Linked DNA regions of Canis lupus familiaris. The protein of the gene in region 1 purifies or fractionates together with the protein of each later gene. This does not show direct contact. Links are inferred from orthologs where the notes say so. Each region holds a gene or a part of one and is shown in the gene's direction. Other genes may lie near its edges. The genes, in order: FBL and RRP9.

Region 1 (15,033 bases):
CCTCTCTCTCTCTTTGTGTCTTTCATGAATAAATAAATAAAAATATTTTTTTAAAAAAAAGAAAACAAACAACAATTATTTAAAGGGAAAAACTCATGAGGTTCTCAAGGTTACTGTGTCCACAGCTTATGACAGAGAAACAGTAATTTTCTCACATGATTGTGATACTTTCTAGCTCGTTACTTGTCTGTAGATATCAGCATTGAAAAAATAAGACATGAAGTTGCTCTTGTTGGGAACCAGTAACTTAACAGGACACACACAAGTGTTCTTTTATTTTGAAAAGGAGAACCATACGGGACGATGCTGGGGTTGGATCGTGTGTTTATCTATCTGGTACAAAGTGCTCCTCACCACCCTGGCTGGCCCTGGAATGTTTTGTGCATTCTTACTTATCCATCAACCCATCTCTCTGTCCTTTTAACCATCTCTCCAAATCTCCAGCTAGCTTATGTATGCATCTCTATATACGGTGCGTCAATCCATGTCTTTATCTCTTTTGGCACTTGTGTCTCTGCTTTTGCTCCTTGAACTTGTTATCTTGCTTGGAGTCTCCATCTTGGTAACCCTCCAACTCTTTTGTGACTCTAGCCTCACCTCTGTTTTTCCCTTACCATCACCAGGTGAATGGTCTCCCTGTGACTCTCCCAGCTGAGTTATCGGCATCTGTGTCCATACGTAAGAATCCCGATGGCTCCGTGAGTGTTATTCAGAAGGCAGGGGTCCAGGTGTGGCTTGGCACCAACGGGCAGCTGGCTGTGATGGTCAATGATGACCATGCTGGAAAGCTGTGTGGGGTCTGCGGAAACTTTGACAAGGCCCAGACCAATGATGGGCATGACTCCAGAAGATGACAACAGGAGAGCTGAAGAGTGCAGGACTTCTCCCCATGGTGAGAGATGTAGCATGGAAGCCAGGCTACTTGGGGGTAGGGGCACCTGGGTCCTCATGGGAAGGGGGCAGTCGGGGTAAGTGCTCAATCTGCAAGAGAATTGCTAAGAGTCTGTCTCTTACAGTCACAGCTGATCAATCATCTCCTGGGAATGAGGACTTCGGGACCTGACCCTCCTGGAGATTCCAATAATTGGAGGGTGCACAGTGTCCCTGTGTGCCCCTACACTGTTCTACCCCTTTGATGAGCCACTGAGGCCAATTGCTAGAGCATTGAATAAATATCTCAGGCTAAGCTGCATGCCAATGTGTCTTATGCCTTCTCCACTCTGACTTTCCTTCTTGCACAGCAGCTGTCATATGCCTGGGGCATCTGGCACATGATGAATATTTACCGAAGGGTGAAAGGATGATTGGAGGTATGGGTGGGTGAGTGGACAGATTATGGGTGGGTGGAAAGGAGGGGAAAGGGAGAGAAGGAGGAAGGGGACCTGGATGGGTGAATGGGGTGGCAAAATGGAAAGATAGGGACATGGATAATTAAAAGTAGATGAGGGGAAGATGAACAATTGAATGGAGGGAAGGAGTCAAAAATGGAAAGAGGGTGAATAGATTCTGGCTTTATAATTTATAATCCAACAACTTCTCTGCCACTTGGTTTCCATATATGTCTTAGTCTATGCAGCTGCTATAAGAAAATACTGTAGAATGGATGGCTTAGAAACAGCAGAAATTTATTTCTCATGGTTCTGGAAGCTGGGAAGTTCAAGATCAAGGCACCAGCAGATTTGGTGCCTGGCGAGAGTCCTCTCCCTGGTTGATGATTGGCTATCTTCTCATATGTGTCATCATATGGCAAAGGGCCAAGGGAGCCCTCTGGGGATTAGTTTATAAAGGCACTAATCTGGGGCGCCTGGGTGTCTCAGTCAGTTGGGCATCTGCCTTCAGCTCAGAGAGAGAGGCAGAGACACAGGCAGAGGGAGAAGCAGGCTCCATGCAGGGAGCCCGACGTGGGACTCAATCCTGGGGCTCCAGGATCAGGCCCTGGGCTGAAGGCGGCGCTAAACCACTGAGCTACCCTGGCTGCCCCAACATAAGCATTTTGAAGGGACTCAAGGGTTCAAACATTCACTCAACAGCATCTTATTTGCTTGTTTGTTTGTTTGTTTGTTTGTTTGTTTTAGAGAGAGCACTGTGTGAGCAGGGGAAGGGGGAGAGGGAGAGGGAGAGAATCTCAAGCAGACTCCTTGTTGAGCACGGAGCATGATGTAGAGCTCATCTCAAGACCCTGGGATCATGACCTGAGCTGAAACCAAGAGTCAGATGCTTGACTGAGCCACTCAGATGCCCCAACAGCATCATATTTAAAGCAGAGTTCATGATAGTACCTACCTCATAGAGTTGGAGTGAGGATTCAATGTGTCCATTCAATCCACAAGTCAAAATTTGAAATCTCTCTTCCTTTCTAAACCCTTCCCCCACCTTTCCCATGATGGCCTTACCCACCCAGTGACTAGCGCTGCCAATACTCACTGTAATAGAAAATAGGGATCGTTCTTGATTCTTCCCTCTCTTTTGCCCTCCACTCAGTTCATCCACAAATCCTGTTGGGTTGTATCAAAATGTACCTGAAATCTGCCTTTCTTATGCCTACTTGATACAGCCATCACCCCTTTATGCTGATGATGCCAACAGCCTCCTACCTGCTCTTCCCCTTTTGTAATCCACCCTCACTGCTATTTGATGACTCTTCCTAACATATAAGGGGGACTATTGGCTAGAAACTTCTCATAATAAAATCAAATTCGCCATCTTGTCCTATAAGGCCCCTGCCCACCTCTGCTGACTCATCTCCAATCACTGTCCTCCTTGCCAATTATGATTTGGGAACTTGATCTTTCAATGTACTGAACATGCCAGATTTTTCCCACTTTACTTCTTTGCAATATGCTGTTCTTTGCACTTACCAGATGATTAGCTGCTTCTCATCCTTCAAATGTCAGCTTACATGTTAGCTTAAGGCCTTAGAGAGGCCTTTCACAGCCACGTCATTTAAAGTGGATTCCCTGTTACCCTCTGCGCCAGATGCTTGCCTGCTTGCTTATTTCCTTCCTAGCATTTGTTACACTTTAAAATTACTTTTATTTGACTTTCTGCCCATTTAGAAGTAACTCAAAAGCAGAGACTATATCTGCTTCATTCACCACTTTATTCTCAGCACCTAGCACACAGTAGATACTCAGGACATACTTATTGAATGAATAAATGGCCAACGATTAACCTGGAGTAAAGAGTTGCAACATACCTAGTAAAGGATTATATCCACAATATATAAAGAACTCCTTCAAATCAATAAAACAAGATAGCAGCCCAATTAAAAAAAAAAAGAGTGGAGAATATACATATGCAATTGACAGAGAAAGAAATCTACATATGTTGAATGATTCAATAGGTCAGGTTATCCATATATAGTATTTCTGAGCTTCCCAGCAACTCTGCAAAACAAGGATAGATATAAAGAAATAGACTTATTGAAGTTAAGTTGCCCAAAAGCAGGTTGTAACAATGGAGCCTAGATTTGAATTCAAGTATGCCACCAAACACAGTCCTTTCCACCGAATTTTGGTGAGTCTCACATAGGCTCAACTCCCTTTCAAGAAAAGGAATTGAGATGCCCTAAAAATTAAGATGAAAAAGAAACAATCCAATAGTAAAAGAGGCAAAAGGGCAGCCCCGGTAGCTCGGGGCCGCCTTCGGCCCAGGGTGTGATCCTGGGGACCTGGGATCGAGTCCCTCATCGGGCTCCCTGCTGGAGCCTGCTTCCCCCTCTGCCTGTGTCTGTGCCTCTCTCTCTCTCTCTGGCTCTCTCTCTCTCTCTCTCTCTCTGGCTCTCTCATGAATAAATAAATAAAATCTTTTTTTAAAAAAAAGAGGCAAAAATTTTAGATAGCTAATAGATAGATACAAATGGCCCTTAAAAATAAGAAATGCTCAGGATCCCTGGGTGGCTCAGCGGTTTGGTGCCTGCCTTTGGCCCAGGGTGTAATTCTGGAGACCTGGGATTGAGTCCCACGTCGGGCTCCCTGCATGGAGCCTGCCTCTCTCTCTCTCTTATGAAAAAATGAATAAAATCTTTTTTAAAAAAATAAGAAATGCTCAATCCTACCCATATTAAGAAAAAGGGAAATTAAATCACCCAAGATACCACTTCTCACCAACCAGATAGACCTCAACAACAGAATTTACTGACAAGGCTATCAGGAAAAAAAAAAAAATCTCATATCCTATCACTGGGAATGCAAACATAAGTCTGATGCAGGGAAACTCAGCAGTATCTTTCAAAATTATAGATGCTTTTTTCTCCCGACCCAGTGAACTCACTACTAGGAATCCAACCCAAAGCTACAATGGCAGTAAAAGGATATAAGCCAACGCTGTTCATCACAGTGCTCTTTATGGTTTAAAAAGGAGGGGAGGGGTGCCTAGGTGGCTCACTCATTTAAGTGTCTGCCTTTGGCTCAGATCGTGATCCCAGGGTCCTGGTCTCCCTGATCAGTGAGGAGTCTGTTTCTCTCTCTCCCTCTGCCCCCACCTCCGTTCATGCTCTCTCTCTCTCTCTTAAATAAATAAAATCTTTTTAAAAGATTTTTTTAAAAAAGATTTTATTTATTTATTCATGAGAGGCAGAGAGAGAGAAGGCAGAGACGCAGGCAGAGGGAGAAGCAGGCTCCAGCAGGGAGCCCGATGTGGGACTCCATCCCGGGGCTCCAGGATCAGGCCCTGAGCCGAAGGCAGATGCTCAACTACTGAGCCACCCAGGGGTCCCAAATAAAATCTTTTAAATAAAGAGAAACAATTCAGATATCCATCAGCAGCCTGGTTGATTTACATATGAACTATTCTGCAGATGAAAGTAAAATAAGGCATATTTGGAAACACTGTTACTGGAGTGATCTCCTGGTTATGTTATGAAGTGAGAAAAGCAAGGTGGGAACAGTGTCCATAATGAAAGAGACCTGGGATCCCTGGGTGGTGCAGCGGTTTGGCGCCTGCCTTTGGCCCAGGGCACGATCCTGGAGACCCGGGATCGAATCCCACGTTGGGCTCCTGGTGCATGGGGCCTGCTTCTCCCTCTGCCTATGTCTCTGCCTCTCTCTCTCTCTCTCTCTCTCTGTGTGTGTGTGACTATCATAAATAAAAATTAAAAAAAAAATGAAAGAGACCTAAGAGAAGGAGTACAAGGGGCTTTTAGAGTACTGGTAATGTTCTATTTGTTGACTTGAATGGTGGTGGTATGGGTTCTTCCCTTTGTGATAACTCATAAAGCTGGGCAGTTACATGCACTTTTCTGTAGGCATGTCATACTTCCCCAAAAAAAACAGTTTTAAAATGAAAAAATCGTAATCTCTGAAAATTCTTGGCCAGTGTGTGTGTGTGTGTACGTGTGTGTGTGTGAGAGAGAGAGAGAGAGAGAGAGAAAGAGAGAGAAAGAGAGAGAATGAGAGAACAACCAAATGAAGGGAACTTGTTTGGACCCAGATTTAAACAAGCAGCAATTTTTTTTAAAGATTTTATTTATTTATTCATGAGAGACACACAGAGGCAGAGACATAGGCAGAGGGAGAAGCAGACTCCCTGAGGGGAATCTGATGCTGGACTCGATCCCAGGACACCGAGATCATGACCTGAGCCAAAGGCAGATGCTCAATCACTGAGCCACCCAGGTGCCCTAAGCCATTTGATTATTACACAGCTCCCAGAAATCCAGAATAAACTCAGCAGGTTTTCCATCTTAACATTTAAACAGATTTTCAGAAATGCATCTGCGTGGCTGGAACACCCCGCACAAAGAACTCAAAAGCATTGGTTCAGTCATTCATTCAACAAACAGTGACTGAGCACCCACTTTGGGCCAGGCCTTGTTCTAGGTACTGAGTGATACAGCCATGAATGGGACAGGCCAGTGCATTCTCCCGGAGGTTTTTAGTTGTATCTCATAGTAGCACTTGTTTTGCTTTGTGCAATGAATGTAAGGATGAATATTAATATTATAAAATTACAAAGCACCAAATTCCCAATACTTCCTTAGAATCTGCTCACTCGTCCCTCCTTCCTCTGCCTATACCCTGATCTTGTCCATCCTTGTCTGCTAGCTGATCCACTGCAGCAGCCTCCTCCTTGGTCTCCCTCCTCTCAGGGCTGTTCCCACACTCTGTTTCCCATGTGCAAACAAGGTGATCCCATGTTAGATCACATCCCTTCTTTGTTCAAGAATCTCCCATAGCTCCATCTCACTTGGAATAAAAGCCAAAGTCCTTTCACTGGCACCCAAGATCCTCACACAATTTCCTTTGTTACCTCCGGGCTCTCATCTCTTTCTGCTCTGCTTGCAAACTCTGCCCCAACCACACCCCTCACTGCCTCTCCAACCCTCCATACCATCCCCGCCCCAGGACCTTTGCACCTACAATCCTCCATACCTAGACCTCTCTTCCCCCAGATAGGTGCATGCCTCACTCCTCATCCCTTTTAACTCTTTGCTCAAGTCACTGGATGCATTCCTTGATGCCTGATTAAGAAAGTCACCTCTCCTCCAACTGTCCTATCTTCCTTTCCTCCTCTTATTTTCTCCAAAGTGATGAAGTTTGGGAATTATAGGTGAGGTTTGTTGGGGTGAAGTCCGGAGCCGACCACCAAGAAAGAATTATTGAGACATTTTTGGTGCAAAATGATGGTTTTATTAAAGTATGGGGGCAGGACCCAGGGCTGCTGCCTTGGGCCTGGGAGGGGTGGCTGATTATGTACCTGGGAGCCGGGAGGGGTTTGAGGATAGCACACTCTCTCAGGAATTTCGGAAGCAAGGTTTCCAGCACCTTGAGGGGGTAGCTATTGTTGGGAAAAGGGCACTTATTACCGTCTAATAAAACCTGAGTCATGAGACCCTTCAGATGTACCTCGGTGGGCCACGTGCTTGGGGGATGATTGCCAACATGTATCTTGGAGACTTAGAAATAAAGGAAATTTCTTTTTCTTTTTTAAATTTTATTTATTTATTCATGAGACACAGAGAGAGAGAGAGAGGCAGAGGGAGAAGCAGGCTCCATGCAAGGAACCCGATGTGGGACTCGATCTTCCATCTCCAGGATCACGCCCTGGGCGAAGGCAGGCGCTAAACCGCTGAGCCACCCAGGGATCCCAGAGATAAAGGAAATTTCTAAAGGAATTTTTTTATGTTAAAGTAGACTCACAGGATCCTGGGGGTCAGGCTAATATTGCCTTTTGCCCTTAACAAAGTATTAACATCGAGGCAGTTGAGTCCATAGAGGACTGTCCCTCTGCCTGTCTCAAGGACTTGTCAATGTGCTGCCCTGGGCCGGTGCTTTGTCCTCAGCTAGTCCTCTGTTCCTCCATCAAAAGCACTTTTATTGCCTTCTAATAACTTAGTTGGTGTCTGTTCCTCCCACTAGAAGATGAACTCCGGGGATCCCTGGGCGGCCCAGCGGTTGAGCGTCCGCCTTCCGCCCAGGGCGTGATCCTGGGGTCGCGGGATCGAGTCCCGCGTCGGGCTCCCTGCATGGAGCCTGCTTCTCCCTCTGCCTGTGCCTCTGCCTCTCTCTCTCCGTGTCTATCATGAATAAATAAATAAATCTTAATAAATAAATAAATAAATGCTTAATCGACTGCATATGTGTGAGCCCAGAATCGTCCGTGTTCGTCGGGTGGAAATGGGTCAGGGAAAGCTTTCGGGTGTAGACCTTAGGAAGTTAATCACAAACAGAGCAGAGGGGCAGCAGGGAGCACAAGAGACGAGCCCCGGCTCCGGGGAGGATCGCACGCCCAAGAGAAGGCGGGAAGCGCGCTCAGCGTCGCGATGGACGCGCCTAAGGCCGCCCACGGGGGCGGCGCCCTGAGAGGCTTGCGAAGCCCCGCCCACAGCGCGCGCGCGGGGCTCCGGACGCGGAAGGAGCTCCGAGGGGCGGGGCTGCGAGGTTACGTCACGCGCCGTGCGTCGCCGCGCGTGCGCTCCTTTCCACGTGCGAAAGCCCCAGACTCGTGTAGTCCCGGCCGCCGCGGAGTCCTGAGCCGCGGGGCTGAGCTCTCGCCATGAAGCCAGGTGCAGGCCGGGGTTGAGGGCCGGGGTCGGGGACTGGGGGCCGGCGGGAGCCCGAGGGGCGGGGCCCCGGCCTAGGGGCAGGGGGTCCGGCCGCTAGTGGGGAGGGGGTCCTGGTTCCGGTCGCCCGTGGCGGTGGCGAGGGGGTCTTGGCTCCTCCCTGTGAAGCGACGCTGAGTCCGGGGTGCGGGTTCCTGGTCTGGGGGTGTGTGACTGGCTTCGGAGGTCACGGTCGTGAGTCGGGGGTCCTGGGTTTGGAAGGGGGTTCCTGAGCTAGGATTCGACTCCCTGAGGCCGTCATTAGGGGTCCCGGTTATTGGGCTGGGGGTGGCAGTCGGGACAACCGACCCAGAGTCTGGATCCAGGCGTCTGGGGTCTTGGATCTCTGGCTGCGGGATTTGGGGATTATGTGTTGGCTCGGAGGTGAGTCCCGATTTGGGGTCGGGGAGAAGCCCCGTTTGCTTCGCGTGTCGCCGCAACCAGAGCCCCCTTAGCTCCCAGACCAGCTTCTCAGAGAGGGCCGTAGTGAATGAGGACTCCCGGCTTGGGAGTGTGTGGCCCTTTCTGCCCCACTTTCCCGCTCTCTACTCTCCCGAGGGGCGGGTCTCCGAGGTGTGAGTGATCGTGATGCTCAACTCGCGGTGAGATGAACCTTCACGAGCCCAAGACGGGCTTAGCGTGGGGTGGGGGAGGGAGATAGTCACAGGACGCGTGAGTGATTTTATTCATTTGATTTTCCCCGAGATTCTGGTGAACCCACCCCGCCTCCCCCGTTGGTAGATCGATGAGAGGGCAGGCTTTGACAGAAGAAAGATCTCAGTTCAAAACTTCAGCACTAGCTTTGGTTCTTAAGTTGCAGCGTGACCTTGGGCAAGTGGCTTTACTTCTCTGTTTTCTCGTTTGTAAAATGGCGCCCAGTTATAATTTAGCAAGATCACGTTAAGAAAAAGTACATATTGTGGTAATCTCTTTGCAATAGATTAAGTGTACAAATAAATCAACAGGTTGGCATATGTGATGTTATATATACATGTCAGTTATAGTTCAATAAGGCCGAGGGGGAAAAGCACAGGACTTGACATAATAGTATTTGTCTCCACCTCCTGTTATCTTTATCATTCCTCTCAAGAGGCACAAAATTAGGGTCTTTCTTCCTGGTGACTTGGGGCTTCCTAAATCAGGCAATGCCCCTCCCCACAACTTGCTTCGCTAGAGTTTGGGGAAATCTTCCACTGTGACCCAGAAGGTCTGTTTCCTAGTACAGGTCTTTGTTTTGCACTTTGCACTTCCTTTTTCTCCCACCCTCCCTGCGTGTGTGGAGAGATGGGGTCATCTGGTGGAGGGGGAGGGTGGGTTTCTTCAGGAGAAAGAAGACCTGATGACCTGATGAAATGATGGGCGGGGAGGCAATGCTGGACTGTGTCTCTCCATCATACCCCGGCATGCCTGCAGGCACCCTACAATTTGATTCCCCCAGGAATGGAGGATATACCTTCCGCCCAACCATTCCCTCATTGTGTTAGGATATGAAGCTGCAGCAGTTAAGAGTCAGCTCTTCACTAAGGGTTTGAGTCTGACAGAGAAGAAGCCCTGGGGAGATTTTGAGCAGGGACAGAATGCTGTCTGATTGACACATTTAAAAGGATCCTTATTGTTTTTTTATGTAAAGGGCATCAGGGGAGCACAAGTGGAAGCAGGTGCATTAGCAGGAAACTTGTGGTGATTTAGTAGGAGATGATGTGGCTTGGGCTAGGGTGGTATTAGTGGACCTGCCTGACAAATTGTCACACTTTGGAAATATATTTTGAACATAAAGCCGACAGCTTGTATGTGGGTATAAGAGAGATCAAGGATACCTCAGGGTGTGGACACATGTACCTGGAAGGATGGAGTGTCCATTTTTGAGATGGGAAGGTTCTAGGAGGAGAGCAGGGTCTAAACCTGGGGGTCCGTGGAACTTCCTCCCAAAACTTCTGGAAATGTGTGTGCAAACGTGTGTTTTCCTGAGGAGTTGGTACTTCTGGTACATTTTTGTAAGCTCCCCTGGACCTGAAATGAATAGATATGTTTTGAGTACCTAGAACTGCAAGTTGACACTCATGCCCCCAGGTCCCCTAGCTATGCCCACACTTCTCAGGTCACTGTTCCATCAGGCCTGGGATGAGAGTCCCTTCAGCCTAGTGATTTCTCCCCTAAGTGGAAGGACAGGGGGACTCTCCTTCCCCTCATTAAAATACTCCTGTTCAAACTGTGTACCAGGCAGTGTGTTGAGGGAAGTGCTTTGTGTGTATTAAGACATTTTTTTCCTACAATGTGTGATTGTTATCGCCGTATCTCTGTCTTACAGGTAAAGTTTTCAGGATTCCCATGAACCTTCCCTACTCTCTAGGGCCGTGAGTGGCATCTCCATCGCCCTGTACGGGACACATGAACTGATTGAGGGGCGGGGACTGGGGCTCCCTGAATGAACAGAGAGAGTGCTTCCCCCGCCCGGGGCAGAACCCAGGGATTTAAGAGTCATCAGCAGACAGCTCACTTAATATTTATTGAGCCCACACTTTGTGCCAAATGTTGTGCATGGTGCTGGGGATGCAGAGTGACCAAAAGTATTAAAACATCCCTGTCCCTTGGGATGCTGGTGGGGAAGTCAGGCAGTGATAAAGTAAAAAGTGCCATGTGTGATGCTTGATAGGAAGAAGCTAAAGGTAGGGAGCCCGAAGGCCCTGAGTTCTCAGGAAAGAATGTTTCATCAGAGAGCTGAGTGCAACGAAGAAGTGGGTGAGCCCAGCTAATGTGTGCAGGAAGGACAGCAGGTATGAAGGGCTTAGAAGCTGGAGAGTGAGTTGAGGAGGAAGGGTGCAAGGCCCAGAACAGAAAGCGTGAGGGCACAAAAGTCAGCGACATTCTTAGTTCAGGCTGCACATTTCAGATTGCCTGGGGAACCTTAAAAAGCCCAATGCTCAGGCCCCTACACCTAAATCGGGATCTCTAGGTTCCAGGGATTAGCCAAAGGTGAGAGCCACTGATTTCAGGCTTTGGAAGCCAGAGACAGGAATTTCAGTTGCATTTTCAACATGATGGAAAGCCATTGGAAGGGATTTAGGCAAGGGGATCAAGAGATCCAATTTTGTGGTTTGGAGAAGGTCCATCTGTAGCTGCCCTGTGGGCAGGAGCCTGTAGAGGGAGTAAAGGCGACTCTTCGGGAATTCTGAAACTTAACTTTTAGTACTTAAATTAGGAATAATGTTTAAAAGCTCTACATTTTCGTCTTTTAAAAAAATTTTTTTTTCTTAAAGATTTTATTTATTGGGCAGCCCTGGTGGCCCAGCGGTTTGGTGCCGCCTTCGGCCTGGGATGTGATCCTGGAGCCCTGGGATCGAGTTCCACGTCGGGCTCCCTGCATGGAGCCTGCTTCTCTCCCTCTGCCTCTCTCTCTCTGTCATGAGTAAATAAGTAAAATCTTTAAAAAAAAAAAATTTTTTTTTTTTATTTGAGAGAGAGCGAATGCACAGGAAGGAGGTGGGCAGAGGCAGAGGGAGAAGCAGACTCTCCTCCCTTCTGAGCAGGGGAGCAGGGAGCCCGATGCGGGGACCCATCCCAGGACCTCAAGATCATGACCTGAGCTGAAGATAGCTGCTTAACCGACTGAGCCCCCCAGGCCGGGCGCCTGCGTATTTTCATCTTTAACACCTTTACAGTGTGTGAAGATTTCATAGCGCGCAGATATAACGCACCTTTACAAAAAACTCTAGCTAGTTTACTATTGAGTAGTTGACATCAGGTGAGGTCATTTTAGAGCATCCCTAATTGTCACACTATTGTTTTGTAACTTGTGCTTTGCCCAAAGTAGTGCAGAGCTTAGGACACTGGCGCAGAAAAGTCAGATAGTGAATCTGTTAGCACCAGGAGAATGCCATCTGCTTCTGCCGTCATTACCAGCTCAGTGCAGCGCATGTTTGCTCTGACCTGAGGTGATGAAAATCAAGTCTTCCTGAATCTTTTTTTTTTGCCCCCCTTCAGATTTCAGGCCAGGTAACAAGCCCTAAATTGCTTATGTGCTGTTGCCCATCCATAAAGGACAACTCGACTTTTTTCTTGTTTTTTTTTCTCCCTCTGAGCTGAGAGAGACCTCTGCAAGTTTGCAGGAAGGTCGATGAGGTAGCAAGAAAGACATCATGGCCAACTCCCCTCTGTTTAGGGGTTGGCCTTTTTCCTCCAGACTGAAGTTCAGGAGTGGGAGGGCACGGACATGGTTTCAGGGTCTGGGGGCCCTTCCTGCCACGATGCGTGCACAGGCTTCAGACTAACACTGAAAATAGAGTGGATCTTCAAACCTCCTATCTGACCAACAAAAGCAGCATGTTGACAGTAACCTACATCTACCTGGGTATCCCTCCCCTACCTGAATCTTGTTCATATTCCCCTCTCAATCCCCAGTATTATCAGCTTTGCATTTATCGTCCCCTTTCCTCTTTTGGGGGGTGGCATGGGGCAGGGTTACCATGTATATCAACACAGCACGACGTTGTTTAAATTTAGCTGTTGCTGAGCCTTATGACCAATACTGTGTTGGACATGGTCTTCGAGTTGCTTTTTCACTTAACATGACTCTTAAGTTTGTTGGTTTTTTGGGTTTTTTTAAGATTTTATTTATTCATGAAAGACACACAAAGAGAGGCAAAGACATAGGCAGAGGGAGAAGCAGGCTCCCTGCGAGGAGCCCGATGCGGAACTTGATCCCAGGACCTTGGGGTCACAACCTGAGCCAAAGGCAGGTGCTCAACCACTGAGCCACCCAGGCGTCCCATGACTCTAATAAGATTTATCTACCTGTTGTAATTATATAGATCCTCGTCACTGGTGCTTATGAATACTCCCCATTTTATTTGTCCATTCTGCCAGTGGACATCTGCATTGGTCCTGATTTTCCTGTGTGGAATTACGAGACATAACTTCTCAAACTTAATTGCCCCAATTCCTCTTTCTGTTGCCACTACAGGTTTCAGCCCCCGCGGGGGCGGCTTCGGTGGCCGAGGGGGCTTCGGTGACCGCGGTGGTCGTGGTGGAGGCCGAGGAGGCTTTGGTGGGGGCAGAGGTCGTGGTGGAGGCTTTAGGGGCCGTGGCCGAGGAGGAGGAGGACGAGGTGGTAAGTGACATTGGGAGTGGGTGGGAGGTGGGATATGATTAGGAGGCTTTCCCTGGGCTTTGGGAGGGAAGAGATCATGGGATCTCCCTCTCTCACTTCATCTCTGCCTTGTAGGTGGAGGTTTCCAGTCTGGCGGCAACCGGGGTCGTGGTCGGGGAGGGAAGAGAGGAAACCAGTCGGGGAAAAATGTGATGGTGGAACCTCATCGGCATGAGGGTGAGTGGGGAGGGTGCAGAGCTGCTGAGGGTAGGGTGGGTTGTGGGGTGCAGCCCAGAGTCTTCACCCTGCGCTGGTCTCCTCACTTAGGTGTCTTCATTTGTCGAGGAAAGGAAGATGCGCTTGTCACCAAGAATCTGGTCCCTGGGGAATCAGTTTACGGAGAGAAGAGAGTATCGATTTCGGTGAGACCAGGGCCCCAACTGACAGGGTAGCCAGCGGTCTGGTCTCCCTACCCCCACCATGCATCCTACACATGCCAGCTAGGGAGTCACCTTTTTCTTTTTTTTTTTTTCTTTTTTTTTTTCTTTTTTTAAGATTTTATTTATTCATTCATGAGAGAGACAGAGAGAAAGGTAGAGAGAGAGGGGAGTGGAAAGGCAGAGACACAGGCAGAGGGAGAAGCAGGCTCCATGCAGGGAGCCTGACATGGGACTCGATCCTAGGGCTCCAGGATCATGGGCTGAAGGCAGCGCTAAACCGCTAAGCCACCCGGGCTGCCCGGGAGTCATCTTAATACATAAGTCAGATCCCCATTGCCTTCAGGTTCAAGTCCCAGGTCCTCAGTGTGGCCCAGAAGACCCTGCACATTCCAGCTCCCCCTCCCCACCCATGCCCCCACCCCTGCCCCAGACCTAGAGTCTTCTAGCCATACGGGTCTCCTTGCTCTTCCCTCTATCTTGAATACTCCTCCTCTCCAGCTGTGTGTATGTCTGGTTCCTTTCATCACCAGCATCTCTGGTCAACATCACCTTGTGTTTCTCACAAGGCCACCTTGTGCCACCCAGTCCATGAAAAGCAGCCTACCCTCTGCTCTATTATCCCACTTCACCTTTATGATGAGGCACGCTCCTGCTCAGGGCTTTTTGCTGCCTTTCCTGCTGCCTAGAATGTGCTTCCCCAGGTGACTTGCATGGCCCCCACCTCCTTCGGGTCTGCATATGTCTCCTAGGCACTTCCCTGGCCACCCTGCCTCATTTTCACCTGTTCCTCAGCCCCCTCCCCCTACTGTATGTCCTTTCCTGGCTTGATCTTTTCTCCTTAGCAACTGTCACTGGCTTCTGTACTGTACGTAGTTTGGTGTAGACTTGCTCCTTGAGGGCAGGGGTCTGTCTCATTCACTATGTAGCCTGGCATAGGGTCTGGCACAGAACATGTTGGCACAGCAAATGTTTGTTGAATGAACACACAGGTCTTGCTGTTAACTGATACGATCTTTTATCTCTGTGTTTATTGTCTGTCCCTGCCCCTTCTACCTGAGTCATTAACCTTCATGAGAGGGCAGGTACTGCATCCATCATGGTCACTGATGTGTGCCTGTGTTCATTTCTTGAACAATGAATGAGCGCCCTAGGCCCTAGGGCTAAGGGCAGTGGGGTCTAGCAAAAAAAACCTGGCACTAACTTCTATCCCCATCTCTCCCGGCCCAGGAAGGAGATGACAAAATTGAGTACCGTGCCTGGAACCCCTTCCGCTCCAAGCTGGCGGCAGCAATCCTGGGTGGTGTGGACCAGATCCATATCAAGCCAGGGGCCAAGGTGCTCTACCTCGGCGCTGCCTCAGGCACCACTGTCTCCCACGTCTCTGACATCGTAGGCCCGGTGAGTGGATAGAGGGTTAAGGAGGAGTGAGTAAGGGCAGGTGGTGAGGTGAAAAGGAGGCAGAGACT
Region 2 (15,064 bases), on another chromosome or scaffold:
CACACAAGCTTCCCATCTCACTTCTCATGCATTCCTCTCACGGATACTCTCTTCCCCCACCTCCACTGCCTGGGCTGGATGCCTATCACATCTGGCCTGGGTGAGAGCATGGCTTCCGTGCACCTCTGGCCCAGTGGCCCTCCCCATGGCTACAGCCACTGAGATGCTCTATATACAAGTCTGGTTAGGGTCCCCATCACTCCCTGGATAAACTCCAGCCCCCTGCCTACACCAGGCATTTGCTTGGATCTTTATCATCAGGCTGTGCTCAGAGGTCCTGACCTGCTGCAGCCTTCCAGGGTTTGTGCTTCTGGCTTCTTCACCTCCAAGCGTCCTCTTTCACTACCTTCCCCCGCCCCCACCTGTGGCTGGCTCACTCATCCTGAGGGTGATCTGCATCACCTTCTCTGGGAAGGGAAGCTGCCTGCCACTTCTAACCTATCCCTGGCCACTGCCCTCACTTTGAGTTCCCCCAGTCCCCGGGGAGCCCCACTGAGCACTCTAGTCAGTAGCCATTCAAAGATTCCTCTCCCAGATCCACCACAAGCTGGGAAAGCACTAGGGCTAGTCCCCCTGGGGGTTGGCCCCGAGAGATACCTCACCATAGCCAGCCGACTTGCTGTTCTCTGAGGCAAAGTAGATGCCCTTGCCAACGCGGCCGCCAGAATGTGGCATGATGCGGAGCCCACTGGCAAGGATGGCGGCCACCACCGCCACGTTGGTGCCATGCCACAGTAGCTTTCGATTACTCAGCTTGGAGTGGGCCTGGAACCTATCTCCCTTCAGGGGAAGGAGGTGGAAACAGGGAGCATCACATTATCCAAGCTCAGGTGCTTCTCCCCACTGTTCAGAGGGCATGAGCGAAGCAAAAGGCCCCTGTGGCCAGTGACATATACTCATGCACACATACGCAAGGCCTGGGTCTGGCGGAAGCTGATGAGTTGCTACACCGACTTGTTAATGGGCACATAAGCTAGGGACAGGTAGTGAGGGAAATGGGTTGGGGGGGATACTTTCCCTTACCTCCCCTTCTCGGTTCACTTTCCAAATGTGTTGAAGAGCAGGGCACCGGTAGGTGCCACCAGTCTTTTCTAAATAGGTATGTATCACCTGCAGGAAAAGCAGAAGCTAGTTGCCAAGGGTGAGAGATGTGTGGACAAACCCCCACTGGTGCTTCCAGTCCCAGAGCTCTCCTCAGGCCCTACAGACACAGGGAGAGAAGGCCAAGGGCAAGCGGCTCTTCTGCACACCAGGAGGGCAGATGGGCAGAGGGACAGTGCCTACTGTTGTCCTGGCTCCTCTGTGGGACATGGCCCACCTTGTACTCGGGTTCCTCTGGGTCCAGCAGCTGGAGCTGGCACTTAAGGAGCTGGTAGTCTCGGTCCAGGGGGTGTGGCACCTCCTCCACCTTTTCCTCTTCAGGGGATGCCTGCAGGGTCTGGGCCAGCTCGATGTCTGCCAGCACCTACAGTGATGGACGCTGACAGCTTGTCTGCCTAATTCAATCCCAGCCTCCTCCCTCCCACACGACCTGGGGCCCCAGCCACCTGACCTGTGCACTCCCACCACATCTATCCGGCTGGTCCTCCCCTCCCCTGTCCTTCCAGCTACCCATTCAGTCCGCCTATCTGGGCCTCCTTGGCCATCTGTCCCCCATCTCCCTTGCCCAGTCTGTCTGTCTGCCCTGCTGCCTGCCTGCTTGCCAAACCTCACCAGCAGCATGTCCTTTTTGGCCTGCAGAAGCTCAGGGGAGTTGATGGGCGGGGGCCGGTTGCGGCTGAAGTTGTGGGGAATGACAGTGTAGAAGTGGGAGGACAGCTCCTCCAGGTTGGGGCCACCATCCGTGGGGGCTTTCAGGGCCAGCTCCAGAGCCTCCAAAGCCTCGAAGCCCCGTGCAATCTGCTGCTTGCTCAACTTCCCTAGGGGCATCTTCTTTACATCTAATGGGTGGAGAGAGTGGGGGAGACTCAGCCCTGTAGTCCTGCCACCCCCGTGGCCCCTGCCTCCTGACTGGCCCCTCTCTCCTCACCCAGGTTCATGAGGGTCATGGCATTCTTGAACATGTCCTTGCTGAAGATGTTGGTGATGAGCTTCTGTGTGGGTGCGTCCAGGGAGCAGGGCCGTACCCGCTGAACTATGTTCCTCACTGAGCCTCCATCCACCTAGAGGTAGAGGGCGTGGATGGGCAGGAGCAGCTGGGCACAGCCAAAGCAGAACCTGGCATTAGAGACTGGCCACATTGAGGCCAGAGAGGGGAGGTGTATGCCCGAGGTCACACAGCCGGGCAGTGGCAGAAGCCAACTGGCTGGGTCTCTCCTTCCAGTCCCCTCCCTCATACTGGGGCCCACCAACACACTTCCTGGCCATTTCACCTTCACCACGGCCTCCTGGGCCTCATCTTCTCCTTGTACTTCGATGAGTGTGTACTTGCCCGGGTGGGCCACAAAGTGGTCCCGCTCCACCCATCTGTTCTTGGTCTTGTCCTGAAATTTCTTCTCAAAGTCCTTCTTTGCATCCTCCAGCAACACAAAGTAGCTGAGCTTCGACTGGCCCACCTCTCCCTGCAACCAACAGCCTCAGGCAGCAGGGCAGGCAGGGGGTGCGGGTGCCTGCCACAGTTGCCCACTGTGAAACATCTGGTTGGCCTCAGCTGTGCCAGGCCCTGTGCCAGGAGCCCCTGGGCATTCAGAGGTGGAGAGAGGGTGCAGGCAGTTGCCGAGTGAGCTGTGGGGACCCTGGTGAGCAGGGGTGGGGAAGGTGGGTCCAGGATGGCAAGGTGGCACTCACCACGCGGCCCCAGCGGTTCCAGCAGGCGAAGCGGTCCCCCTCTTCCAGCAGCTGGATGATGTAGAACTTGTTGTTGTTTCTTCCAATGTTGGTCTGATTCAGGGTGCAGGCGTAGTCTTCATGCACCTAGGGCCGGAGGGGGGTGGTGCTCTGGGGAGGGCAGGCCAGCCTGGACGGCCCTCAGATGGAACAGGTGGGAGAGCAGGCCGTAGGGAGGGCAGGCCACACAGTGACAGGGGTTTGAGGGGAACAGCAGTCAGGATGCACTGGGACATCCAGGGGAGGCTCTATCAGGAAAGGCTTGAGGTCATGGTTCTGCCCTGGGGGCCACAATCTGAGGGAACATGACTAAACTCAGTTGGGGGAAGTTCTGGGAGGATGTGGCTGTACCCTGTGTCAGGGAATCAGAGGGAGACACTGCTTCTGCCCTGGAGGTCTGACAGGACACCACTCTGCCATGCAAAAGGGATCTCAGTGGTACATGGCCCTCTGGGGCTGCTTTAGGGGTTACAGGTGAGCCCTGGGGAGACTAAGGAGGTTGAAATCCTGTCTTAAGTATGGCAGGTGGAGGCCTGAGAAGCTTGGAGGCTTACCCTAGGGTCTGAGGAGCAGACATGACTTGCCTGGATCTGATGGGCTATAACCCTACATGACCGTTGGGGTCTCAGGGAAACATAGCTTCTTGGGAGCCTGAGCTACCTGGCCAGAGCCGAGGCCCAGTGAGGAGGGGGACTGGTCTGAGTGTATTTGTACCTAGGCTCCAAGTCTGGAAGGGGACGACAGATTACCTGGGTCTGAGGGTTGTGGCTGAGCGGGCATGCTGGGTCCACTCGGACTACGTGCTTCTCTGTGGGTGCAGCTCTGAGGGCCTCGGCAGTGGAGCGGAAGCTGTCCTCCTCCTCTGCACCCTGCCGCCCCTTCTTTTTTTCAGGGCCCTCCTGTTGCACCTGGGGCTTGCGCTTTGGAGCCATGGCTCTTCTGGGGCACAAAGAGGGCCCTCAGGCCTTCATGGCCTCTGCATCCCACCTGGCTGGCACAGCACCAACGTGCCCCACTCTGGGTTTGCTCTTTTGGTGACCCTCTCCCCATTGCCTCCCCCCTGACTCCATCTCTCCATTCTCTAAGCCAGACCAAAACCAGCTCTCTGTACCAGTCCCCTTTCCCTTTTCCCATTCGCATGGGCCAGGCCAGGACCCTGTCCAGTCTGCCCCAGAGCCTCGGAAGAATGGTTCCCTATTCTCTTTAGCAATCCAGTGTCCTGATGAGGGAGGAAAAGTGAGGAGAATCTCTTCTTGCTTCTGGTCTCCTCCTCCCTCCAGAGCACTCCCTGGGTATTGCCCGCTCCGCCCCTGTCTCAGCTGACTCAGATGGACGTGGCATGGCTGCTGGGCTGAGTCACCCCAACTATGGAGGAGAGTGGGCAGCAGCTCCCAAGGGCCACACTCCCGAGGCCAGATCTGTCCCTCTAGAACTTGGGACCCTGCGGCCCAGAAATCCTTCCCAAGGGGTTTAAAAGTTCTGGGGTGCCAGTCAGGGTCTGAGACCAGTGGGCCAGCACCAGCACCACCCTGTCCTGCCCTGCCCTGCCCTGCCCTGCCCTGCCCTGCAGGGGGCTGTGGGCAGGGCCATAGGGCACTCACCTAAAAGAAGGAGGGACCTGGGAGAGATGGCAGCCACGGATCTAGTATCAGGACCCCCAGCAGTTCCGGTTCTAGGGCCTTCTCCAGCAACCCTCTGTAACCTTAGGCGTGACTTGGGGCAGTGATCTCCCTACAATCGCCAGGGGTGGGGCAGGGGCAGCGCAGGGGTGGGGGTGTGGTTTTCCAGCTATCTGGCCACCAGTCAAGTGAGTCAGAGGCTGGACTAGCGGAGCCCAGCAGCCTGTCCCACGGACCGCTGGACACTCGACCGGGAGAGCCAGCGCAGCCCAGGAGGCTGACGCGTCCCTCGCGCCGCTTGAGTGGCCCGAGGCACGCAATACGTGTCCGCCGGCTGCCCCGTGACCTTGGGCCCAGGTGCGGGCATCGCCTCCCTCTCCTCCGGGCTGCCTACGTTTCCTCGCCGTTACCTAGTGCCAGGCTGGTTCACCCTAGCTCCCGCCCCCGACGGGGAGGAGCCCCGCTGCGAGACTCGGGGCGCTGCATCTCTGACGCCCCCCAGCGTCCAAGGGCCGCAAACACAGAGAAGGCGCTTCTGGTCCGGCCCGCCCCTTGGTCGCCAGCCCGCAGCAGGGCGCAGGCGCCGCAGCTTTGGGCCGGAAGCGCCCGAGGAGGCTTGGAGCCCGGAGGAAGCCTTGGAGGCGGGGCCACAAGCGCTTATCCTATGGGCGCCTGGGGGCGGGACAGAGCGTACAGAGGCAGCCAATGGGGCCGTGGGAGGCGGGACCCGCGGGGCACTGGGAGCCTATCCGGGCGCGGAGTCCTGCCAGACCTCCGGGGCTAGCAGCCACGTGAGTTCTCCGTGGCGGCCGCTGCGCTCGCGGTGGGCAGCATGTCGGCGGCGGCGGCGGCTCGGAAGCGGGGAAGGCCGGCCTCGGGGGCCGCGGCCGGTGCGGGGGCCGGCAAGCGGCGGCGAAAGGTGAGCCTGAAGCTTCTGCGGGCCACAGTCAGCCCCGCCGCCGGGACCAGCGTCGTCCGCCCCGGGACACCCGGGCCCCGGGCGCCTCCGCGGCCCTTTTTTCGGGACCCTAGCTGGAGTCGGCTTCGTTCCTCTCTCCGGGGGCCAGGTCCTGAAAGACCTTGCACTGGAGCCGGCGGGGGCGGGGGCGGGGGCGGGGAGGCCACTGCCTTTCCTAGTCCGGCGGCTCTCGAGAGATCGGAAGGCGCGCTTGGTCAGTGCCCGGTGGTTGGGACCCCGGACTAACGAAAGGATCATTTAATTCTCAGGCCGACTCTGCCGGGGACCGGGGCAAGTCCAAGGGAGGCGGCAAGATGAATGAGGAGATTTCCAGCGACTCTGAGAGTGAGAGGTGAGCTCTCTCCCACCTGGAGGAAGGGAACACTGAGGCTCATAGTGTATGGAAGACTCAGGGAGTCGGGGCAGAGCTGGGCCTTTTCGGCTCCTAGGTCTTGGCTCTTCCCTCCAGTTCTGAGCCTGATAGTAGGACTCGTCTTAAGGAGATTGAGAAGTTTCCTCTCCTTTCCCGGCAGGGTCTCTGTGTGGGGAGAACCCCCAGTCCCAATGGGAGACCAGTGAGACCTCCCTGGTTCACGGCAGGGACAGGTGCACAAGCTGGACGGGCTGGTATGGGGAGAGGCATGCAAGAAATGCTTGCTAGTTCTTCCATCTGTTTTCCCACAATGTCAAATTGCTGTTCTCAACATATGCCAGGCACTGGCTTTACTGTTGACAATGCAGAGGTAAGCAGGCAGGTGAAGACAAAATGGGTTGTAATGAAGTGGGTATTCTTCAGCTCTGTGTTCTGGAGACAGGGAATGGGACATTTAAATAGGGCCTGGGGAGATAAGGAGGAATCTGTCAGATAAGGAAGGGCAGGGAGGACATTCAGGGAGCAGAGAAAAGTCTAGGGCTTTACATGTGCCCAAGTGGGAGATGGACAGGTTGGAAAGGCAGGTGTTGGCCGCATCCAGGTTGTGGAGGGCTTTGAATACCTCCATTCTGCAGGTGACAGGGGTGAGACATGTTGCAGGGTTTCAGAGGAAGTTAACAAGGTACCACGCCTGAGCCTGTGGAATGGAGGCCATCATACCAGGGAATCCTGGGGCCTTCCTTAGAGTTGACTTTAGAAATTCAGCTTCTAGGGACACCTGGGTGGCTCAGCGGTTTAGCGCCGCCTTCAGCCCAGGGAATTAAAAAAAAAGTTCCATAGTTTTCCTGATCCTGGAGTCCTGGGATCGAGTCTCACATCTGGCTCCCTGCATGGAGCCTGCTTCTCCCTCTGCCTGTGTCTCTGCCCGTCTCTCTGTGTCTCTCATGAATAAATAAAAAAAATCTTAAAAAAAAAAAGAAAAAGAAATTCAGCTTCTAACATTGAGCACAAGTTGGCCTTAACATGGTCACAGGAAGACTTCACATACTTACTTTTAAGATCACTGTGGGTAGCAGTGTGCCTGGCCCTGTGCCGAACACTTTTAAATGTTTAAAAAATGTGTTGTGGGGCAGCCCCAGTGGCACAGCGGTTTAGTGCCACCTGCGTCCCAGGGCGAGATCCTGGAGACCTGGGGTCGAGTCCCACGTCAGGCTTCCTGCATGGAGCCCGCTTCTCCCTCTGCCTGTGTCTCTGCCTCTTTCTCTCTGTGCCTCTATGAATAAATAAATAAAAAAAAATCTTAAAAAAAATGTGTTGTGAATGTATGAGATACAGAAGAATCAATGAAATGTATTTGGACCATAGGGGGCAATGGTGAGATGATGAACCTCCGTGCACCCACCACTTAGGAATTTAGAGGCCCCAACTCTGCATTCCTGACTTAATTGTTTCTTTGGTTTTCTCCTTCCTTCCTTCCTTCCTTCCTTCCTTCCTTCCTTCCTTCCTTCCTTCCTTCCTTCCTTCCTTCCTTCCCTCCCTCCCTCCCTCCCTTCTTCCTCTTCCTCCTTCTTTTTCTTTTCATTTTCTTAACCAGGTATAATTTACATACAGTAATATTCACTTTCTTTAGTGTACAGTATGTGAGTTTTGACAAACACATATAGTGGTGTAACTACCACCACTCTGAAGGTGTGGAAGGGTTTCATCATGCGCTAGAACCCCTCCTGCCACACACAACACTCCCACCCCCCCTCCTTTGGAGTCCATGCCCCCCTCCCTCTAGCCCCTGCTGACTACTGTCGCTAGAGTTTTGCGTTTTCCAGGATGTCATATGATTATATGCTTCTTTTCCTTTTTTTAAAGATATTATTTATTTATTCATGAGAGAGAAAGAGAGAGAGAGGCAGAGACATAGGGAGAGGGAGAAGCAGGCTCCATGCAGGGAACCTGATGTGGGACTCGATCCCGGGACTCCAGGATCACACCCTGGGCCAAAGGCAGGTGTTAAACCACTGAACCACCCAAGCGTCCCTTCCTTTGCTTTTCTTTATAGAGTTCTATCTCCTACATGTGAACCCCTATACGATAGATTGATTAGTTTGGGTGAATTGAGCAGAAGTTTTAACCATAGATATATACAGGAAGGGCAGAACCAAGCCTGTTGGCTGAAGGCTTGCTGGGCACTGGGTACTAGATGGTCTCTGGGGCCTGGTTCAGCCTTGGCTTCCTTGGCAGTTTCCAAGGTCCCTTCTGGGGACATTGTGGACAAAGTCATAAATGAATCTTGGGGAAGCAGTTGGGCCATTTGACAGATACTAGGTATCTTCAGGCACAAGATCGGGGGATGGTTCCTGTGGCCTGCCTGTAGCTCCCAGGAGCAAGTCTGCGTAGGATGTGTCTTGAGTGAGGTGAGTGCTCTAGCCAGTGCGAATATGAGACATGTAATGGAAAGCTTCACAAGGTCAGGCCAAGACCAGTTATGTTTCACCTGGAATCCTGTCCTCAGGGTAGATGCAGTGAGAGTGAGGTAGGCACGTCCCCAGTGTGTCTGCCTCTTGCTTGGGTCCTTTTTTTTTTTTTAAAGATTTTATTTATTCATGAGAGACACAGAGAGAGAGACAGAGAGAGACAGAGACACAGGCAGAGGGAGAAGCAGGCTCCATGCAGGGAGCTTGACGTGGGACTCAATCCCGGGTCTCCAGGATCATGCCCTGGGCTGAAGGTGGCGCTAAACCGCTGAGCCACCGGGGCTGCCCCTGCTTAGGTCCTTTTATCGGATCTGGGCTGGCCATAGCTCCCCTGTCTGGGGATGCATGGTCTGGGATCTGCCTTTTCTGCTTCCCGTATTGGAGCTCCTGTTCCTTGTCTCCCATGCCTTTGTCATTCCCAGCTGACTGTCTTGTGTTGGGGCACGTCCCTCATCCTGTTGTGAGGCTTAGAGAAGGCCAGTCCTGTGGCAGCTTGTACATCTAACAGTGTCTTCACTGGTCATCGAGGGTTTAACTGGTGTGGCCTTCCAGGGGTTCACACCTTGTGTAAACAGCTCAGTATTTTGTGTATGTGGCTCCTTTGTTGACCACTGTTGCTATTGATTCCAGACCCTTCGTATGTGACCTTTCTTCAACAGCTTGTAGAACCTGCTCTTTCCCTCTAGAGTTAAGAGATTTCACAGTGATCTCTTTGGATTTTGGGTCTCTTTTCACCCTCATGTGAGGACTGGGTGGTTCCTTTCAGTTTGACAAGTTCAGTCTTTGGGTTTTCTGCATATGTAATCGTTGGCTATGAGACGGAGGGGGGTGGTTGAGTGCCAGGGGAAGCAGTGAGGAGGTATGGTCTTAGTGGCTGGAAGAGTGGGGTGAGCCCTCTGAGAGCTATTCCCTTCCTTCCCGCAGCCTGGCTCCTAGGAAGACTGAGGAGGAAGAGGAAGAGGAGCTGGAGGAGACAGCCCAGGAGAAGAAGCTTCGCTTGGCCAAGCTCTACCTGGAGCAGCTCAGGCAGCAAGGTGAGCCCATGCACTGGCAGGCAGGGGCAGGGCCTGTGTCCAAGACCACCTGCTGTGCCCCAGCCGCCTGACGGGTGGCTGAGCAGGTACCTGGTGGATTGCCAGAGCTGCTGGTGTGGGATTTCCTGAAGGAGGGTGGCTGGGAGACTAATGGGCCTCCTGGGGTGGGTCTGACCTTCAGGGGGCTTTAGCCTAATCTCTAAGTAATGGCAGGGGTTAGGCAGGAGGAGATCTCTCCTTTGCCCAAGGCAGCCTGAACTTCCCTTGGGACACAACCCGAGTGTTTGGAGCCCAAGACCAAGGCAGTGGGGTGGGGTGGGAATGGGAAGGGAAAAGTGGAGTCTAGGCCTACATTGACTTGGTCTGGTCTGTCCTTGCATAGAGGAGGAGAAGGCCGAGGCCCGGGCATTTGAGGAGGACCAGGTGGCAGGGCGCCTGAAGGAGGATGTGGTGAGTTGTGGAGGGAAGGCGGTGGGAGAGAAGGGTTGGGCTGGTCCTGCTCTTGGGAGCTCATCCCTCTCCTCTCTGTGCAGCTGGAGCAGAGGGGCAGGCTGCAGAAGTCGGTGGCAAAGGAGGTAAGCGGGCAGGGGACTTTGATGTAAGATTGAAGTGAATCATGGGTCCCACATGGGTAGGTGAGTGAATGGCCTAACTGGGGACTCAGGCTGTGGGGTTTTTGCTCTGGAACTTGGGGGGCACTTAGGCAGACAGAGTCAGGTAAGGGTCTGATGCTTGCAGCCCTGGTCAGGGTGGTGGGAAAGGATGGTGTGTGTGTGTGTGTGTGTGTGTGTGTGTACACGCGTGTGTGCACGTGTGGTGTGTGTGCGAGTGAGTGAGCATCTAGGGGCCTTCTTGTCCTCTGTGGCAGTGACCTCACTCTGCTTGCCCAGATTCAGGGCCCAGCCCCGGCTGACATCCGTGTCTTACGGGGGCACCAGCTCTCCATCACGTGTGTGGTCATCACCCCCGATGACTCTGCCATCTTCTCTGCTGCCAAAGACTGCACCATTATCAAGTGTGAGTGAGCCTGGCTTGGGGGTGCAGACCCGGGGATCTTTTGGGAGGGCTGATCTGTGGAGGAGGGAGTAATCAGGGCAGACTGAGGCCTGGTGGGGGAAGCTTCTGGACATAAGTTTATTCCTAAGGAGGTGTTCTCTGGGTGCCAGTGAAAGCTTCTGCCTAAGAGTGGGGCTTGAGCTCCCCGTCGCTGTCATTGGAGGCGATTGAACAGAGGCAGGATACTGATGAATGGGGATTGGTGCTGTAGGTGGGCAGTTGGAGGACACTTGAGGCTCTGTGCTGTCCTGGGATTGCATCCCGGTCTTCCTGGGTACCCCCCTTCGACAGCTGAGTACTGTTTTCATCCACCCTTAGGAGAAACTGGAAGAACTCGTACCCTTGGTCCTAAGGCACTTTCCTATCCTCTCTGGGGCTTCGTGGCTGCCCTTGGGGGGTTACTGTCACTGGGTGACAGATGAGGAACCTGGGGATTATACAGGGGCTCACGGCAGCCGAGCTGAGTTCTGCTCTGAAGGCACCACTTTCTCCACAGCCCCGTGCTGCCCCTGAGGGGGTTGCCAGCCAGTCCTACCCTCTGTCCCAGTAACTTTCTCTTTCCTGTTGTCAGGGAGCGTGGAGACTGGACGGAAGCTTCACGTGATCCCACGGGCCAAGAAGGGTGTTGAGGGGCAACCCCCCAGCCACAGCAGCCATATTCTCTGCATGGCCATCTCCTCTGACGGCAAGTACCTCGTAAGGCAGTGCTGGCCCCGGGGGGTGGGCGAGAGTCGGGGGCACACATTGGGTGCCTGTGGCCATTGTCCTCATCTCCACAGGCCTCGGGTGACCGCAGCAAGCTCATTCTCATATGGGAGGCCCAGAGCTGCCAGCACCTGTACACTTTCACAGGCCATCGGGATGCCGTGTCGGTAGGAGCTGTGGGCATTTACCAAGCAACCAAGTGGGCCGGGCTGGGGCAATGGGCTGAATGAGGCAGAGGGTGTCCATCCTCAGGGACATAAAGGAGGTGAAGGGGAATTGCGGGGAGACTGAGCTTGCCTAGGGAGTGGGGAGGCTGCTCAGGAGTGCACCGCTGCCTCCCTGGGCTTGTGACGTGCTTTTTAGGAGGAAATCCTCCCCCGGCGAGGACTTCTGTCTCGCCTGCTGTGGTCCAGGTCCACTTTTGCTTCCTGTCCATGTATCTGTAGGGTCTGGCATTCCGCAGAGGAACCCACCAGCTCTATAGCACATCCCATGATCGCTCTGTGAAGGTGTGGAACGTGGCGGAGAACTCCTATGTGGAGACACTGTGAGTGTGCACGGGGAAAGGGTGTGCAGATGCATGTGCCAGTGCACATGGGACCCCATCCTCCCTCTGCCCCCTCTCCCCCTCCAGCTTTGGGCACCAGGATGCCGTCGCTGCGCTGGATGCCTTGAGCAGGGAGTGCTGTGTGACGGCTGGGGGCCGGGACGGGACGGTGCGTGTGTGGAAGATTCCTGAGGAGTCCCAGCTTGTCTTCTATGGCCACCAGTAAGGCTATCCACTGGGCCAGGTCAGGGGAGAGGGGCTGGGGTGGGGCTGTGCCCCTCACTGTTCCTTTTGCCAGGGGCTCCATCGACAGCATCCAGCTTATCAACGAGGAGCACATGGTATCGGGCGCAGATGATGGGTAAGAGCTGCCTTTGGGATGCCTTGCACCACTACCGCTGCTCCTGGACTTGGCTCCAGGAACCTTCCCTTGTGGCAGTGGGATTCCTTTCTGCTGAGTGGCCTTTCTGCCCTACCCCAGCCCCTTGCCAATTATGTTCTTTGTCCACAGCTCTGTGGCCTTGTGGGGTCTCTCTAAGAAGCGGCCGCTCGCCCTGCAGCGTGAGGCCCATGGGCTGCGGGGGGAGCCAGGCCTCGAGCAGCCCTTCTGGGTATCAGCAGTGGCGGCCCTGCTCAACACAGACCTTGTAGCCACAGGTGGGTGCCCTTTGAGGCAGAAAAGAGGGGGTTGCAGGGTGGGCCAGTGCGGGGGCGCTCACTATCTCCCTGACCCCTCAGGCTCCCACAACTCTTGCGTGAGGCTCTGGCAGTGTGGGGAGGGCTTCCGGCAGCTTGAACCTCTCTGCGACATTCCCCTGGTAAGTGGGGCTTGAATGCCTCGCCTATCTTTGCCACACTCCTGAGGCCCTAGAGTTCAGGGCACCTGGGATTAGCCCCTTATTTTTTTTCTTGCCAGAAGGGAGGCTCCTCAGGGCAAGGCTATGACTTGTTATTTTATAGTGCCAGTTCCTACCACAGGGCCTGATAGGAACCCTTCCTCCCTCCTCCACTCCTGTCTCCCCCCACCTCTCCTCTTAAACATTCACCTCCACCCTGTCCTGGGTACAGGGGAACAAGGCTAGGACAGCAGGGCACAGCATGTGCAAAGGCATGGGGGTGTCTGATGCTATGATGGCACCAATGGTGCCAGATTGGGCCCAGGCTAGGGGGTGTGGACACAGGGTGCCCTGAGGGAGATGGCAGGATGGTCGGTAACGTCTGGTGACAGCGCAGGGCTTGGTGATGGCCATGGGGTCTCCGGGACCTCACAGCTGGGAGCCACGCCTTAGGCCACCCCCTGAAACGTGACGTATTTGGCTTTCACTGTCTCCTTAAATCCTCACAAACTGCCTGTGAGGCCAGCGTGATGTTTCCCTCCATCTCACAGACGTGGAGGCTGAGGCCCTGAGGGGTCAGGGACTGATCAGGGGGCCCTGATCTGCTGGGGCAGAGCAGGGATTTAAGCTCCTAGGGCCAAGCCTGTGGCAGTGAGGCCAGGGCTGTGGTGCTAGGGAGGCGTGGCGGGGGGGGGGGGGGGGGCGGGGTAGGGGAAGGTGTGGGAGGGGTCTGTCCTCACATTTTCCCACATCTCTCCCTTTTCTCAGGTGGGTTTTATTAATAGCCTCAAGTTCTCCAGTTCGGGGGATTTCCTGGTGGCTGGGGTCGGGCAGGAGCACAGGTATGAGGCACCCTGGGAGGTGGCACTGGCTGGGCTACCAGATGGGGTGCAGGGGGCTGGGCCTGGCCTCAGCTGCTTCCCTTCTACCCCCTGCAGGCTTGGCCGCTGGTGGCGCATCAAAGAGGCTCGGAACTCCGTCTGCATCATCCCGCTCCACAGGGCCCCCAGGCCCCCTGCGGCAGGCTCCTGACTCCTCTCCCCTTTATTTAAGTCCTTTCTAGACCAGGCCCTGCCCTCTTTGTATTAAAAGCCTCCTCTTTTGGGCTTTGTCTCTTGAAGCTTCTCGACTGGGGAGGGAGGGTGATGGCAGGACTGTGGGGGGGGGGGCAGGGCTCCTACCAGCATCTCTGATGCATAAGGGCTTTCTGTCCTTTCATGGAACCTGGGGATGGAGACCTCATCCACCTCCTGGTCTCTTGAGTATCCTCTGTGACCTTGTTAGGCCAGCTCCCCACCCACTGCTCTGGGCTGCGAGGGGTCAGAAGCTGCAGACCCCTTGGCTAGGGAGCCATGGCTGTCCAGTTATGTACCAGGGCTGGCTGTCAGTCAGAATTGAAATGAAGAAAGCTAGGCCTGCATGTCAGGCTTACCTGGCCCACCCAGGCCAGTTCAGGAAGCTAGAGATGGGTGGGGTAGGGGGATACCACACTGCCTACTACCTGAGGACAAGTGTCAGAGTTGAGAATAGCTCTGCCCTTGGTCTGAATGCCAGCCAGGCTGTCACAAGAATGTTCTTTCTGCTGATTTTATCTATTGGACAATTCACTCCTGCTACTGGCGGAGCCAGGAGAGACAGACCAGAGATGTAGAAGTGCAGGAAAGTATCCTCTTAGTGGGAAGAAGGAAATGTTATGGGTTCTGCTCTAACCTTTTTTTAACCCATTGGGCTCAACCACTGAGCCTGTAGTTCCCAAGAGGCAGCATGGTCCCCTCGGGAGGAAGCCACAGGGCTTTTCTCCTGCTACCATGCTCAGGAGGCTTCCCCTCAGACAGACCTGCTCTTGCCTGCCTTCATTTCTCCTGGGGCCAGAGGGGTCAGGTTCAGATCAAAGCCCTGAAAATCCTGTTCTGAATCAGAAGATGGTGATAGAATTCGCTTCCTGTGTCTTGCCTCACATTGAGCTCAGTGATGGCATACACACACTTCCCAAAAGCCATGGCATAGCAACACCGAAGTGCACCTTAATACATGAACCCCTTTCCCATGGTACACTCCTATTGGGAGAAATCCACAGTCTTGAATCCTTGCTCCTCTATAAATAATACATCATTTTTCTTCTGGCTGCTTTTATAATTTTTTTCATCTTTGATTTTCAACAGTTTGTGATATGCCTGGGTATGGTTTTCTTGGATGTATCTTTGTTTTTTATTGTGTTAAGATGTAACAAAGTTTATCATTATCATTTTTTATGCTGATGTCATTATTATTAGAAGAGGTTATTTATTTTTAAGAGAGATTGCATATGGAGTGGGGGTGGGGTTGAAGGGGTTGTGGGTGTGGGCAGAGAGGGAGAGAATCTTAAGCAGGCTCCATGCTGGGCACGGAGGGCTTGGTGCAGAGCTGGATCCCATGACCCTGAGATCATGACCTGAGCTGAAATCAAGAGTTGGATGCTTAATGGACTGAGCCATCCAGGTGCCCCACCATTGTAACCATCTTTAAGCTTACAATTCGGTGACATGAGATACGTTGGCATTGTTAGTGCAGCTGTCACCACTGTGCATTCCTCTAATGCTTGCAAATTGAAACTCTATACCTGTGAAACAATAACTCCCACAACCCCTGGCAACATTTTACTT

What was found.
Region 2: the proteins of FBL (region 1) and RRP9 purify together in Homo sapiens (affinity purification with mass spectrometry; 3 studies listed by BioGRID and IntAct, counting the BioPlex papers as one, with this or other methods). This does not show direct contact. The link is inferred for Canis lupus familiaris from reciprocal best matches to the Homo sapiens genes FBL and RRP9.

The regions. Positions count from the first base shown.
Region 1 is NC_049222.1:114,411,394-114,426,426, forward strand, and holds the start of FBL (rRNA 2'-O-methyltransferase fibrillarin), read left to right. Parts: upstream 1-7,849; 5' UTR 7,850-7,995; coding exon 7,996-8,005; intron 8,006-13,001; coding exon 13,002-13,148; intron 13,149-13,262; coding exon 13,263-13,364; intron 13,365-13,454; coding exon 13,455-13,549; intron 13,550-14,794; coding exon 14,795-14,965; intron 14,966-15,033. Other genes in the region: IgGFc-binding protein, read left to right, coding at 624-854.
Region 2 is NC_049241.1:38,177,271-38,192,334, forward strand, and holds RRP9 (U3 small nucleolar RNA-interacting protein 2), read left to right. Parts: upstream 1-5,262; 5' UTR 5,263-5,277; coding exon 5,278-5,364; intron 5,365-5,672; coding exon 5,673-5,755; intron 5,756-9,168; coding exon 9,169-9,278; intron 9,279-9,660; coding exon 9,661-9,728; intron 9,729-9,811; coding exon 9,812-9,853; intron 9,854-10,168; coding exon 10,169-10,295; intron 10,296-10,905; coding exon 10,906-11,030; intron 11,031-11,113; coding exon 11,114-11,206; intron 11,207-11,485; coding exon 11,486-11,586; intron 11,587-11,673; coding exon 11,674-11,808; intron 11,809-11,884; coding exon 11,885-11,947; intron 11,948-12,097; coding exon 12,098-12,243; intron 12,244-12,324; coding exon 12,325-12,404; intron 12,405-13,190; coding exon 13,191-13,264; intron 13,265-13,360; coding exon 13,361-13,454; 3' UTR 13,455-13,531; downstream 13,532-15,064. Other genes in the region: protein mono-ADP-ribosyltransferase PARP3, read right to left, coding at 603-780, 1,024-1,110, 1,319-1,465, 1,714-1,940, 2,030-2,162, 2,373-2,561, 2,788-2,913, 3,576-3,758. UniProt on the Homo sapiens protein: Component of a nucleolar small nuclear ribonucleoprotein particle (snoRNP) thought to participate in the processing and modification of pre-ribosomal RNA (pre-rRNA).